Linked DNA regions of Arabidopsis thaliana. The protein of the gene in region 1 purifies or fractionates together with the protein of each later gene. This does not show direct contact. Each region holds a gene or a part of one and is shown in the gene's direction. Other genes may lie near its edges.

The links.
Region 2: the proteins of ATSMC2 (region 1) and AT1G32730 fractionate together in Arabidopsis thaliana (co-fractionation; one large-scale study listed by BioGRID). This does not show direct contact.

What each region holds. Positions count from the first base shown.
Region 1 is NC_003074.8:17,484,650-17,492,583, forward strand, and holds the start of ATSMC2 (Structural maintenance of chromosomes (SMC) family protein), read left to right. Parts: upstream 1-1,840; 5' UTR 1,841-2,115; coding exon 2,116-2,433; intron 2,434-2,521; coding exon 2,522-3,202; intron 3,203-3,279; coding exon 3,280-3,423; intron 3,424-3,500; coding exon 3,501-3,791; intron 3,792-3,871; coding exon 3,872-4,057; intron 4,058-4,137; coding exon 4,138-4,302; intron 4,303-4,380; coding exon 4,381-4,440; intron 4,441-4,674; coding exon 4,675-4,737; intron 4,738-5,125; coding exon 5,126-5,217; intron 5,218-5,346; coding exon 5,347-5,443; intron 5,444-5,918; coding exon 5,919-6,035; intron 6,036-6,176; coding exon 6,177-6,395; intron 6,396-6,521; coding exon 6,522-6,662; intron 6,663-6,739; coding exon 6,740-6,907; intron 6,908-7,140; coding exon 7,141-7,325; intron 7,326-7,493; coding exon 7,494-7,587; intron 7,588-7,673; coding exon 7,674-7,762; intron 7,763-7,844; coding exon 7,845-7,934. Other genes in the region: NOA1 (P-loop containing nucleoside triphosphate hydrolases superfamily protein), read right to left, coding at 273-293, 441-522, 619-698, 772-858, 935-1,120, 1,202-1,600.
Region 2 is NC_003070.9:11,838,901-11,843,914, forward strand, and holds AT1G32730 (electron carrier/iron ion-binding protein), read left to right. Parts: upstream 1-2,009; 5' UTR 2,010-2,176; coding exon 2,177-2,298; intron 2,299-2,591; coding exon 2,592-2,653; intron 2,654-2,936; coding exon 2,937-3,024; intron 3,025-3,242; coding exon 3,243-3,345; intron 3,346-3,447; coding exon 3,448-4,056; 3' UTR 4,057-4,408; downstream 4,409-5,014.

The sequences.
Region 1 (7,934 bases):
TATTTTCTAAACCGTCAAAGAAGTTTCTTTATAAATGCATAGCCTCTATCTCCAGTAAACGAATTTATGAATTAGTGGATCATATCGAGCAGTGTTGTGTCGAGTTTGTTGTTCTGATGGACATCCGAGAAAATTGATTTTCACTAAGCACTGCCTCTATCATTTAAAGTGTGTTAAGCTATTAAGTAAATAGTAAGAACTCGCATCAGTTAGCAATAGGTTTACAAACTAAAACTCTATTTTGTTGGTGACAAAATTACGAATGCACATACCAGAATGTAGACATCTCGTCCCTGAAACAAAAACAGGGATACAGAGGTCAGGTTACAGAAGGTAAATAAAGAGAAGGTTATATTGTCCGACACTGAGCCATAATGGAAACAAAATGTACGCTAAAGAAAACAGCTTTAAGGTGGTGCAATATATAAAAAAAACGCTACCTTTTTCTCCTTCTGGATCTCTGATGCAACTCCGCTAACTCCATCCAGGGACTTTGAACTTGTGAGATGGACACTCAAGACACTGAAAAGTTATATCACACCCAAATCAAACACTAGCTCCAGAAACATTACATCACTTTCTAGCAACAACCATAGTAGATAAGTACTTGATACCTACTTAAGCTTTTTCCTCATGGTCACTTCCACAACCCAATCCCCGATACAATTCATATCCGTTCCTTTTGGAAGAAGATCAATCTAACAATACAAAACACAATTATTTACCATAGTTAGAAAGAATTGAAGAAGTAGCCATGTTATAAAACCTTACCTTAGTTATAACAAGTATAATCGGATTAGCTCCAACTAAATCACGAACACGAGCTAAAAAGCTTCCATTAAAATCCACTATATCAACCTGCAACACAACAAGTTGACGATCTCTTGGAACATAAAACAGAAAAGAGAAGTTCATTCTAACAATATCTACTCACCAATTTAACAATCAAAGCTTTCTCATGGCGTAAATGAGAAAGTTTCTCACGAAGTTCATCAGCTGATACAAATTGTTTCCCACCTGGATAACCTCCATTACCACCAACTGCTGTAATCATATGTCCATGTGACAATAGCTGACATCTTCCACATATCATAGTTCTTAACTGGTGATGCTTCTTCTTCTACAATAAACACAGAAGAAACCATCTCTAATTCATCAATCAACTAACTCAAAATTGAGATTCTCAAGCTCGAATTCATACCAATTCATAAGTAACCAAATCGACAAATCCCGGAGAATCGACGTCGGAAGTTTGTAACGGAGCTCCGCAGCCGTAACAACATGAGACTGAGGTATCAACAACTTTCCGTGCAATAATCTCCTCTTTCTTTTTCTTCTTCTCCTTTTTGATCTCTTTCTTCACTACTTTCTGAGCTTCATGAGCTCGTTGGTTCTCCAGGAACCTTTCTCCAGGGGTTGGAGCAGCCGCCGCAAATCCATCTCGTTCCGAGAGTGAAACTGGTGGTTCTGAATTAGCTATTGATTTACAGACGATTGATGTCGTCGGATTACGGTAAATGACGGTGAGATTGGGTTCACGTCTCGTCGTTGTGTGGCGACGAGGAAGAGAAGGAAACGTTGAGAGTGTTCGTAGCGCCATTGCTGAGATTTTTCCTCACCAGCTGTTGTTTGTTGTTATGTTATCTATTAAACCCAGAGAGAGAACAAGAGAGACTCTAACTGGTACAGAGGTTTTACTCGAAAGAAGAACCTCTGGTTGATTGGAGACGGTTATATCCGCCCGGGACAAAATAACCGGAATCGAATACCCGAAATGAACCGATCCAAAATTAGGGTATAGATTAGAAATTCAGTTTCCCGCTCTTTTGCTACCAAATCTCAGAAGGCCCAATTTTAAAGAGAAAATTATGTTTTTTTATTTGGTAAATTGAAAAAAAGAAAAAAGAAAAATTCAAATTTGCTTGTAATAATCCTCTCAAAGAGAATTCAGTTAGACGATTCGTCTCTACTTCTCCTGCAACGGTTAGATTTTGAATCTACGCTCTCAATTTCGGAAGCTTGTTGTGATACTTCCGTCTGGGTTTCCATTTCTAGGGTTTATGGGGTTTAGTTTCTAAATTAGGGTAAAATTTGGGGAAGAAGAAGACAACAAAGATGCATATAAAGGAGATATGCTTGGAAGGTTTCAAATCATACGCAACGAGGACAGTAGTTCCGGGTTTTGACCCGCATTTCAACGCGATTACGGGTCTAAACGGATCCGGAAAATCCAACATCCTCGATTCCATCTGCTTCGTTCTAGGTATCACTAATCTTCAACAAGTTCGAGCTGCTAATCTACAGGAACTCGTTTACAAGCAAGGACAAGCTGGAATCACTAGAGCCACTGTTTCAGTTACCTTCGACAATTCCGAGAGAAATCGAAGTCCTTTAGGTCATGAAGATCATTCAGAGATTACAGTAACTAGACAAGTAAGTCTTATTTAAGGTTTTAGTGAAAAAAGGTTTCGTTTTTAAGTTTTGTTAAGAGTGAATTTTGTTTGTTTGTGTGTGTTTGAAGATTGTAGTTGGTGGAAAGAACAAGTATTTGATCAATGGGAAGCTTGCACAACCAAATCAAGTTCAGAATCTTTTCCATTCGGTGCAGCTTAATGTGAACAATCCTCATTTTCTGATTATGCAAGGGCGTATTACCAAAGTTTTAAACATGAAACCTATGGAGATTTTATCTATGCTTGAAGAAGCTGCTGGTACGAGAATGTATGAGAATAAGAAAGAGGCTGCGTTAAAGACGTTGGAGAAAAAGCAAACTAAGGTTGATGAGATTAATAAGCTTCTTGAGAAAGATATATTGCCAGCTTTGGAGAAGTTGAGGAGAGAAAAGTCGCAGTATATGCAGTGGGCTAATGGTAATGCGGAATTAGATCGGTTAAAGAGGTTTTGTGTCGCTTTTGAGTATGTGCAAGCGGAGAAGATTAGAGATAATTCGATACATGTTGTTGAAGAAATGAAGATAAAAATGACTGGTATTGATGAGCAGACAGATAAGACACAGGGTGAAATATCGGAACTGGAGAAACAGATTAAAGCTTTGACTCAAGCAAGGGAAGCTAGTATGGGAGGAGAAGTAAAAGCTTTGTCTGACAAAGTTGATTCATTGTCTAATGAAGTGACACGTGAATTATCCAAGCTTACTAATATGGAGGACACCCTTCAAGGCGAAGAAAAGAATGCTGAAAAGGTTACCTGACAGTTATTACCTTGGGTTGAAATTGTTACAGATTCTCAGCTATTTCTGACATTTTTTGGTGTTGCTAGATGGTTCATAATATAGAAGATTTGAAGAAATCTGTAGAAGAAAGAGCTTCTGCTCTCAACAAGTGTGACGAAGGAGCAGCAGAACTAAAACAAAAATTCCAGGAATTTTCAACCACATTGGAAGAGTGTGAAAGAGAACACCAGGTAGTTTTAATAAGTAGAAGCTTTATTTACTGAACCTATCTTGTATGTTAATTGGGTTTACATCCCTTGATAATTAGGGTATACTAGCTGGTAAGAGTAGTGGAGATGAAGAGAAATGTCTCGAAGATCAACTACGTGATGCAAAGATTTCTGTTGGAACAGCTGAAACGGAGTTGAAGCAGCTGAATACCAAAATTAGTCACTGTGAAAAGGAACTAAAAGAGAAAAAGTCTCAGTTAATGTCAAAACAAGACGAAGCTGTTGCAGTGGAAAATGAACTTGATGCTAGAAAAAATGATGTAGAAAGTGTAAAAAGGGCATTTGATTCTCTTCCATATAAAGAGGGTCAGATGGAAGCATTGGAGAAGGTTAGTATGCTTTCCCTATGATTTTTTTTCTTTCTTCTTCTGTTACATAATGAATACATCTGTGACTCAAATTTTCTTAGGATCGAGAATCAGAACTTGAAATTGGGCACAGGCTGAAAGATAAAGTGCACGAACTTTCGGCTCAATTAGCAAATGTTCAGTTTACATACCGCGATCCTGTGAAAAACTTTGATCGATCAAAGGTGAAAGGTGTGGTTGCAAAACTGATAAAAGTGAATGATAGGTCCTCAATGACAGCTTTGGAGGTAAGTAAGTTATTATATTGTTGTTATATTATTATACTTTGTCAGATTGTTTGAGTTCTCTAAGGTGACTATTTTTTCAGGTTACTGCTGGTGGGAAGTTATTTAATGTTATTGTAGACACAGAAGATACTGGAAAACAGCTCCTTCAAAAGGGTGATCTTCGGAGAAGAGTTACAATTATTCCTCTTAACAAAATTCAGTCTCACCTAGTTCCACCTAGAGTGCAGCAAGCCACTGTTAAATTAGTATGTGGATCTTTTTTGTTCTACTGTCAAATTCAACTCTTTCTTTGTTCCTTGCTGATTTTCTGCTAATTTCTCCAGGTTGGAAAGGGTAATGCGGAATTGGCACTTTCTTTAGTTGGTTATAGTGAAGAATTAAAGGTGGGTTGGTTGCCTGCTCAAAGTACCAAGAATCTGATACATTTGCAATTTTGCATCATCTATTAGTTTATCAAATTTCTGATAACCTTATATTATGCAATGCAGACAATTAAATCCTCTCACTCATGAGCTGTGTAACTGCTGATTTTGTGTTTTAGAACATTTAGTTATGGACAGACTGATACCATGAATCCAACTATTCAATTTCATTTGACATTCTCTAACTTTTTGCAGAATGCCATGGAATATGTTTTTGGTTCCACTTTTGTTTGCAAAACTACTGATGCGGCTAAGGAAGTAAGTATTTCCTAGACATTAGAGTACCCTGTGTTTTTTGAGGTGTGTAGAGCTGTATTCTAAGCTGGTTATATAACAACCTTACTTGACATGTGTTTTCAGCTGGGCCTTTGTTATATTGTCATCACCTCAATCTTCTCTCAAAACTTGGACCGGCGATTTCCCTCTTTATATTAATGGAATATGACTCTAGCAAAATTTAATTCCTATAGTTCTCATATATGTTCATCGTTCTCAAATAAATTTTTTTTTTTGCTCAAAATTTGATTGGTTTGCAATTGTCAGACATAATTTATTTTCCGTACTATCTTCTTCCTTATATTGAGACTACTCTGTTTTCTTTAGATATTTCATTCGTTGATTTGTGTCTCAAATGGTTGTTCGGCAGGTAGCATTTAATAGGGAAATTCGGACTCCTAGTGTTACACTTGAAGGTGATGTATTTCAGCCAAGTGGTCTTCTTACTGGTGGAAGTCGCAAGTATGTCATTCTTTCTATTAGACCAGTAGATCTTCATGGCGTTCATCTTCTTGATTTCATATAGATATGGTTCAGCAAGGCCTATAACCTGACCAAAAACATTATATATTTTGTATTCCTCTGTTGCAGGGGTGGAGGTGATCTGCTAAGACAACTTCATGATCTGGCCGAGGCTGAAACAAAATTTCGAGCACATCAGAAAAGTTTGTCTGAAATTGAAGCAAACGTATATATTTCTTCAATTTTTGATATGCTATTGCTTTCCTTTTAGAAAAAGACACTTTGGCCTTTGACAACTGAATTAGGCGCCATAGAATTTCTACCGAACCATTTGAAGTAAAACCATATACATTTTCTTCAGGTTAGAATTAGATCTGGGTCATTGGGAACTCGAGGCTCATGTCTGTTCATTGGTGATCTAAAAGAAAATATAATCTTAGCTGCTGAAACTGACACTTTGAACCTTATTTAGATGTCTCATCATCTTAGATAGTCAATCAGTTTGGTTGTTTCTGGTTCAAATGAAACATGGTTTAGTTAGTGCCATTGCAGCATATTGATATACCATGTTTATTTTTCTAGGATTTATTGATAACTCAATTATGTTTGTGAAGGCTCCCACATAATGTTGTTGTCGACTCTGGGTTCCTACTGCAAGTTATATGGTTTTGCATAAACCCTACATGTTCTTCAAATTGCAGATCAAGGAGCTTCAGCCTCTTCAAACGAAGTTCACAGACATGAAAGCACAGTTGGAGCTGAAAATGTATGACATGTCCTTATTTCTAAAAAGGGCTGAACAGAACGAGCACCACAAGGTTTTATATTTTTTCTTGTCTTCGTATCTCCATTTGTCTACATCCTTGTAGCTTAAATTTCCGAATTATATTTTTTCCCTTCCTATTGGTGCTAAAAGACATATTTATAGTATCACTCCCTTTTACCAATTGTATATATAGCTTGGTGACGCAGTGAAGAAACTTGAAGAAGAGGTTGAAGAAATGAGATCCCAAATCAAAGAGAAGGAAGGTCTTTACAAAAGTTGTGCTGATACTGTCTCCACGCTGGAGAAATCCATCAAAGATCATGATAAGAACAGAGAGGGAAGACTCAAGGACTTGGAAAAGAATATTAAAACTCTAAAAGCTCGTATTCAGGCATCCTCAAAAGATCTAAAGGTATCCCAGATCTTTCAGTCAAAGATTCTTTTTCTTTGTCCTGGACCCCTGGTTTACCAACTTTTTGCCTTTTACATTTCTAAAATGGCTTCATAGCTTTTGGTCTATGTTTCTTCTTGCTCATAGGGTCATGAAAACGTAAGGGAGAGGCTTGTGATGGAGCAAGAAGCAGTGACGCAGGAACAGTCATATTTAAAGAGCCAGCTAACTTCATTGAGGACGCAAATTAGCACTCTGGCTTCAGATGTGGGCAATCAACGAGCCAAGGTACTGCAATTATTTCTATCTGTGTCTTTTAACTATAAAGAATATACGAGTAACATGTGGATGTGACCCTTCTGCAGGTGGATGCCATACAGAAGGATCATGATCAGTCTCTCTCTGAGCTCAAGTTGATACATGCAAAGATGAAGGAATGTGATACACAGATTAGTGGTTCTATTGCAGAGCAGGAAAAGTGTCTGCAGAAGATTAGTGACATGAAGCTTGACAGAAAGAAGTTAGAAAATGAGGTCTGCCCTCTTCACTTTGTTTGTCTGGAAATACATGTGTTATTTCTTGCAGCGTTCTCCCTATCTAATGACAGATGTCTTGGGTTCACTTAATTACTTTGACTTTAATATTGAAGTAGGACTGGGTGTTGGATGATAGAGGTGGATATAAGTATTAGGACTTCCTGGTAATTCGGCTTATAAAAAAATTGAAGATGTTGTATACTCATGGGAGAACATTTTACTCTGAGTAGGTGACAAGGATGGAGATGGAGCACAAGAATTGTTCAGTGAAGGTAGACAAACTTGTTGAGAAGCATACATGGATTACATCTGAGAAGCGGCTTTTTGGAAACGGAGGGACAGACTATGATTTTGAATCCCGCGATCCTCACAAAGCAAGAGAAGAACTTGAAAGACTCCAGACAGATCAATCAAGGTATGTTTCTAAGGATAGTCATAGATTTAATTTTGCAACTTATATAATATTCACTCTCATGCAATGCAATATCAATGGAATGTGCTTTATTTTTCTTTTTTGTTTCTTCTCTTTAATTAAATGAGAAATCTCTCCTCTCGTTTCCTGGCTATTCATTCTCTTATAAAGTCTAGAGAAAAGAGTGAACAAGAAGGTCACGGCTATGTTTGAGAAAGCTGAAGATGAATATAATGCTCTTATGACCAAGAAAAATATAATCGAGGTTAGTTTTGGAGGGTCTGTGCAACATAGTTTAAAAAGCTTAAAACACATTTACGAACTATGTTTTTTTTTTTTTCATTTTCTTAGACTGACAAATCAAAAATCAAGAAAGTTATTGAGGAGCTTGATGAGAAGAAAAAAGAAACACTGAAAGTTACATGGGTTAAAGTTAACCAGTGAGTTGCTTATTTAGTTTCTTTACTTAACCATGTGATTCACTTCTCTTTACGATATTTAAAGTTGGATCCTTATCGTTAGGGATTTTGGTTCCATCTTTTCAACTCTACTACCTGGCACCATGTCAAAATTAGAACCTCCAGAGGGAGGTACTTTCCTTGATGGTCTTGA
Region 2 (5,014 bases), on another chromosome or scaffold:
TCAAATATATTTTGGAAAATCAAGTCCTTACTTGATAAGGACGATTCTTGCTCCTTTAATTTGTTAACAAGAAAAAGAAAAAATATCTCATATCTCGGATTAATACCTCACAAACCGACCGATTTATGTATTTCTGATTTGGTTTAAGTTCAGGTTCAATTTATAGAGAAGTTGGATTAAAAAATAACCAAGGCCTATGTATTAATGTTTTTTTTTGCAAGATTATGCGCTAGGTTGCATGGAAACTCGCTCCGAGGTGCGTTTCTCGTTTCCGAAACGTTTCGGAAACGGAAACTCTCCGGAAATACGAAAAACGTCACGGAAACGCGTTTCCTAAAAATCTAGGTTTAGAAACACGATGGAAACTTACGTTTCCAAAATAGAAACTCACGTTTCCGAAATAGACATACGACAAATCTTTTTTATTGACTTTAAAAATTTAATAACTAAAATTGAAAATATTAAAATTATTATTACATATAAATAATTTTGGAAGACTTTGAGTTTTAAGATCTTTCTTTTGTTAAACCAGATTTGAAAAGAGCTTTATATTATCTTTGATAAAACTAATGAAAATGTTGGTCTAAATTAACTATTTGAACTTGAACCTTTTAATTTTTATCTTTTAGAATTTTAGTTTATTTATTTAATATTGATATTTTGGACTTGTATTGTTTAAATCATTTTTTCTTTAATATAGTTTTATGTTAATGTTATATATATATATATAATGTTATATATATGTATAAATGTGTATACGTTTCCAAAACGTTTCCAATCCCTAATTTTAAGAAAAAATCGTTTCCCGTTTCCGAAACGTTTCGTATCCGCATTTCCGTTTCCGTTTTCATGCAACATAGATTATGCGAATGATTGCAATTTACAAGTAACAACTTGAGAGATGTACGTTCACTATGTCGCGAAGAATTGGTGAGGAAATCTTTCGTAATATTTTGTTATCCAATGGTATTTATCTCGATTGTAATCGTTAAATCATGAATGGATGGTTAAATATTTACCAAATAAATAAAAAGAAGAAGAATAATTAAAATTTATATATTGGTGAGCAAATATTATTATTCCGATTAAATTATACTTTTTAATTGTTGTTTTGTAAAATTGTTCAGTTCTGTTTTGTTTTGTAGTCTCTATTATCATCAGAGTTGTTTAGTTTGATCGTCGTGTGGACTCTTGACAGTCCTCATAGTCTACTAAATCTAAAACCAATGATAAATCAACTAATTAATTAAATAATCATGTCTATAAAGTATAAACTATATTTTTATGTGTTAACCCATCCAAATCTGCAAGTCCATACAAATTGACTCTAAATATATTGAAGCTGCAAAATCAGCCAAGTACAAAATTGACTCTAAGTATATTGAAGCTGCAAAATCAGCCAAGGTTACGCAATATAATCATATAGCGATCGATGCATCAGAATAATAAGTTAGAAAGCGATATCAATTGCAAAATAGTATAGAGTAGTATAAAAATATGAAAACACTCTGAAGTTGAATGCACCAAAATCTAAATGCATTGTTTTGTCTGCCAAATTGACTTCTATCTAGAAGCTTCTAGTGTGAAGCTCTGATACCACTTGTAACGTCCAAATCAAAGCTTCGAGTTACAAGTCAATTAGTAGAATGATTTATTGTTTTTGTTTCTTTTACTTATGAAAAGACTCTAAAGCAAAGCGAAGGAAGAGATGAGGAAGAAAAAGATTTGCCCAAACGGCAAACACTAAATTATTTAGATTGATGTTCTATTGTTCATATGAACAATAACGTCTATATATATGTGAATCTGATTCGATAGAATAACCTAATTACTTGGGCTTTTTTTGGGCTTATATTGATTTATCTGACAAGTCTGATCCCGGATAAAGTTCATGATTTGGTTAAGTTCGGTTCAATTTAAAGAGAAATTATATTGGGCTTTAAAACCCAGGCCCATATAAAAACGACTCACGTGGTATTATTAATAACCGGAGCCCTAGACCCGCCGTGAAATCGAGCGATTGAGAGCACTTCGCAAAATCAGAGCGACAAAAAAAAATAAAAACCAATCCTTTCGATTCCAAATTTTTTGTTACTCACTCGCACGAGTTTTATTTGGTCGTTAGTTATCTCTTTCGTTGAATAACGGTTTTAATTTAAACCGTTACTTTTTATCAATGGCGACTTCGTCACCGTCTCTGAGTAACAATGGTCTTTCCTCCGTCGTCACGCCTCCCAAAACTCTCCGTGGTCTCAATAAGCCTAAGTGTATTCAATGCGGCAATGTAGCTCGCTCCAGGTATTGCTTCTACGCATTGTTTCATCGAAGGACTTAGGTTTTTTACATCTGGGGTTTCGATTTATGGATTGTTCTTGGGTTTTTGATCTGAAAGGATTCGAATTTGTCTTGTATAGTACTTTTTCGTTTTGATTTAGGGTTCATAGGTTTGTGGGTTTGGGTTTTTATTCATGATTTGGTGATTAATCTGTTGGAGATTGTTTAAAGTTTTGAGCTTTAGTATCGAAAGATCAGTTTTTTGAGATTATTGGTGAAGTAATTGTAATTGTATTGCTTGGATTTGATAAATGCAGGTGCCCTTTTCAATCTTGTAAGGGTTGTTGTTCAAGAGCAGAGAATCCCTGCCCGATTCACGGTATGTTTGCCCTGTCAAATCTCAACTTCATAATTAGCTAAAGTGATCAGTTTTAGAGTTTAGTGTTGATAACTTTGATTGGAGAGTTCTATTCTTTCACTTGGTAAGTTTAGAGTTTAGTATTCTTGACTTCTATAGGGTTCGTTTGGTTGTCTCGGGACAAAAAAACCTATAAAGAACCATAAGACTGATTCTTGGAATGTGCTTGTGATTAGCTGAGAGATATAGAGATGTTATCATGGACTGTTTTGTGTTTCTTCTTATGTGTTTTATTTCGCTGCAGTTCTTAAAGTAGCTTCAACGTCTGGTGAGAAGACGCAGGCGCCAAGTACTCCATCTTCAGAGCAGAAAGCAACCGAGGGCACTCCCGGGTACATATATATAAACTAATTTTCTGTTTTGTTTGTGCTTCCATGGGCAAGTGAATCTTAGATGATAAACCGGTGTTTGCTTACTAATACTTTGATAGGAGATTCTTCAGCTTTCTTGTTTTATTGCACGTAGTTGATAGTGAGATGATATATTGGTCTTGTGGAACTAAAATATGGCGCTTTATGTTGACGTTTTCTTCTTTTGGAAATTGTTTCAGGAGTACCACTAGAGTTTCGTCAATCCGGCAACTTTCTAGCAACTTTGCTCAGTTTAATAACCTGAATGCTTCTTCCCGCCAGAGAAAACCTTTGACGATAAAGGTATACTAATTAAGACGTCTTTCATTGACTTTAGTACTCTATGAAAAATCTCCATTTAGTTGTTTTCCTCTTATCAGTTTTTGTTCTGTCTATATTCTATAGGATGCTCAAGCTTTAAACGAGTGGCGGTTTACAAAGCTAAAAGAGTACAGAGACAGAAACATTGAAGTAGAAAATGAAGCTTTTGATCGGTACATGAGTAATGTGAATTTACTCGAAGAAGCATTTTCATTTACATCTGTTCCTGATGAAGAGAGTCATGGAACAGCAGCTCCTGAGCAAAACAAAGAGGAAAATATTGTTTCAGAGCTTAAACTGAGGCTGAGATCGAACTCTGCAAGAACAGAGAGCTTTAAGAAGCGGATCGCGGAGACAGTCAAAGCCGGTTTGGTGAAGCTTAAGAGACTGGATTTAGGCAGTTCTTCAGATGATCAAGATGATATCAAAAGGCGGGTCAAAAGAAAGAAATGGGAAGAGAAAGGTTCAGCTTTGAATGAAATAATCGATAAACTGAACAAAGCAAGAACCGAAGAGGATCTCAAATCTTGCTTAGAGATGAAATCAAAGCTCTGTGGTCAAGTTTCTCCCACTGCTGCTTCCGAGAAGAACAAGATCTTTCCGGGTGTAGTCCGAAAAGTTGAGATGAGTGAAGAAGCACTTCAAAAAATCGCTGAGAATCTCCAATCTTTTGACAAAGTTGGAATGTTGTGAAGTCGAGAACATCCTGTGGATGAACTGAAAAGTTTGAGTGGCAAGAAAATTTCTAGATCCTTCGTGACCACGGTATTGTACAATGATCAAACATCCCTCAAAACTGATCCTGAAGACTCCAAAGACTCAAGAGATTCTTGTAAAGTAGTGTTGAGCATCATTTAGATATTAGAACTCAGCCATGGATAAAGCTGTTGATTCTATCTCATTGGATTTTTTTCACTGTGTGTTGTTGCTTTGTTAGATTTGAAATTGCTCATTGGATTACCTTTGACTTAATAAATAGTTGGTTTGGTTTGGTATTGGATAACCGCTCAGTCTAATTAGACCGGTTTGTTTTTTTGGAAAAAAATGAATCCATCCATCCATAGGCCACTTTCAACACGTATATTTGAAAACGACTAAAACCAAACTCTTAGATTCTAGTTTTGTTTTGCTGCCCCAATTCCACTATTGATCAAAACATATCCAAAAGTTTTTGTGGAACTAAAAAGTAAAAATAACGTTTAGTTTGTTTCCAATTTCAACCATATATATCTTATTCATATATGCATGTTGTGGTTGTCTCGTGTGTGTAGTATTCATTTACATTATGCAAACCAACTGGAAACATGTTGAATGGGTTATGGGTTGGTGGTTGGGACTTGAGGATCAAACAACTCAAATGAGCTCATTATAAGTTAAGCTCTCAATAATCATTAATTTATTTTTGTTACCACCTAATATTTCTACGAAGGGTTGGTGTAACAATTTTTAATTGTAAGATAATTGTGTAATCATTTTCAATATTAATTTTTATTATGTATTTATTTTAAAAAGTTATATAATACGTAACACATTTAGTACTTGGTTTTGGTAGCTTCATCAATGTACCATCCGAAGTTCCAAAAAATAAAAAAAAATGTCGATTTCACCGTTGGTGAAAAAGAAACTAAATTGATATGTATTATTCATTTTT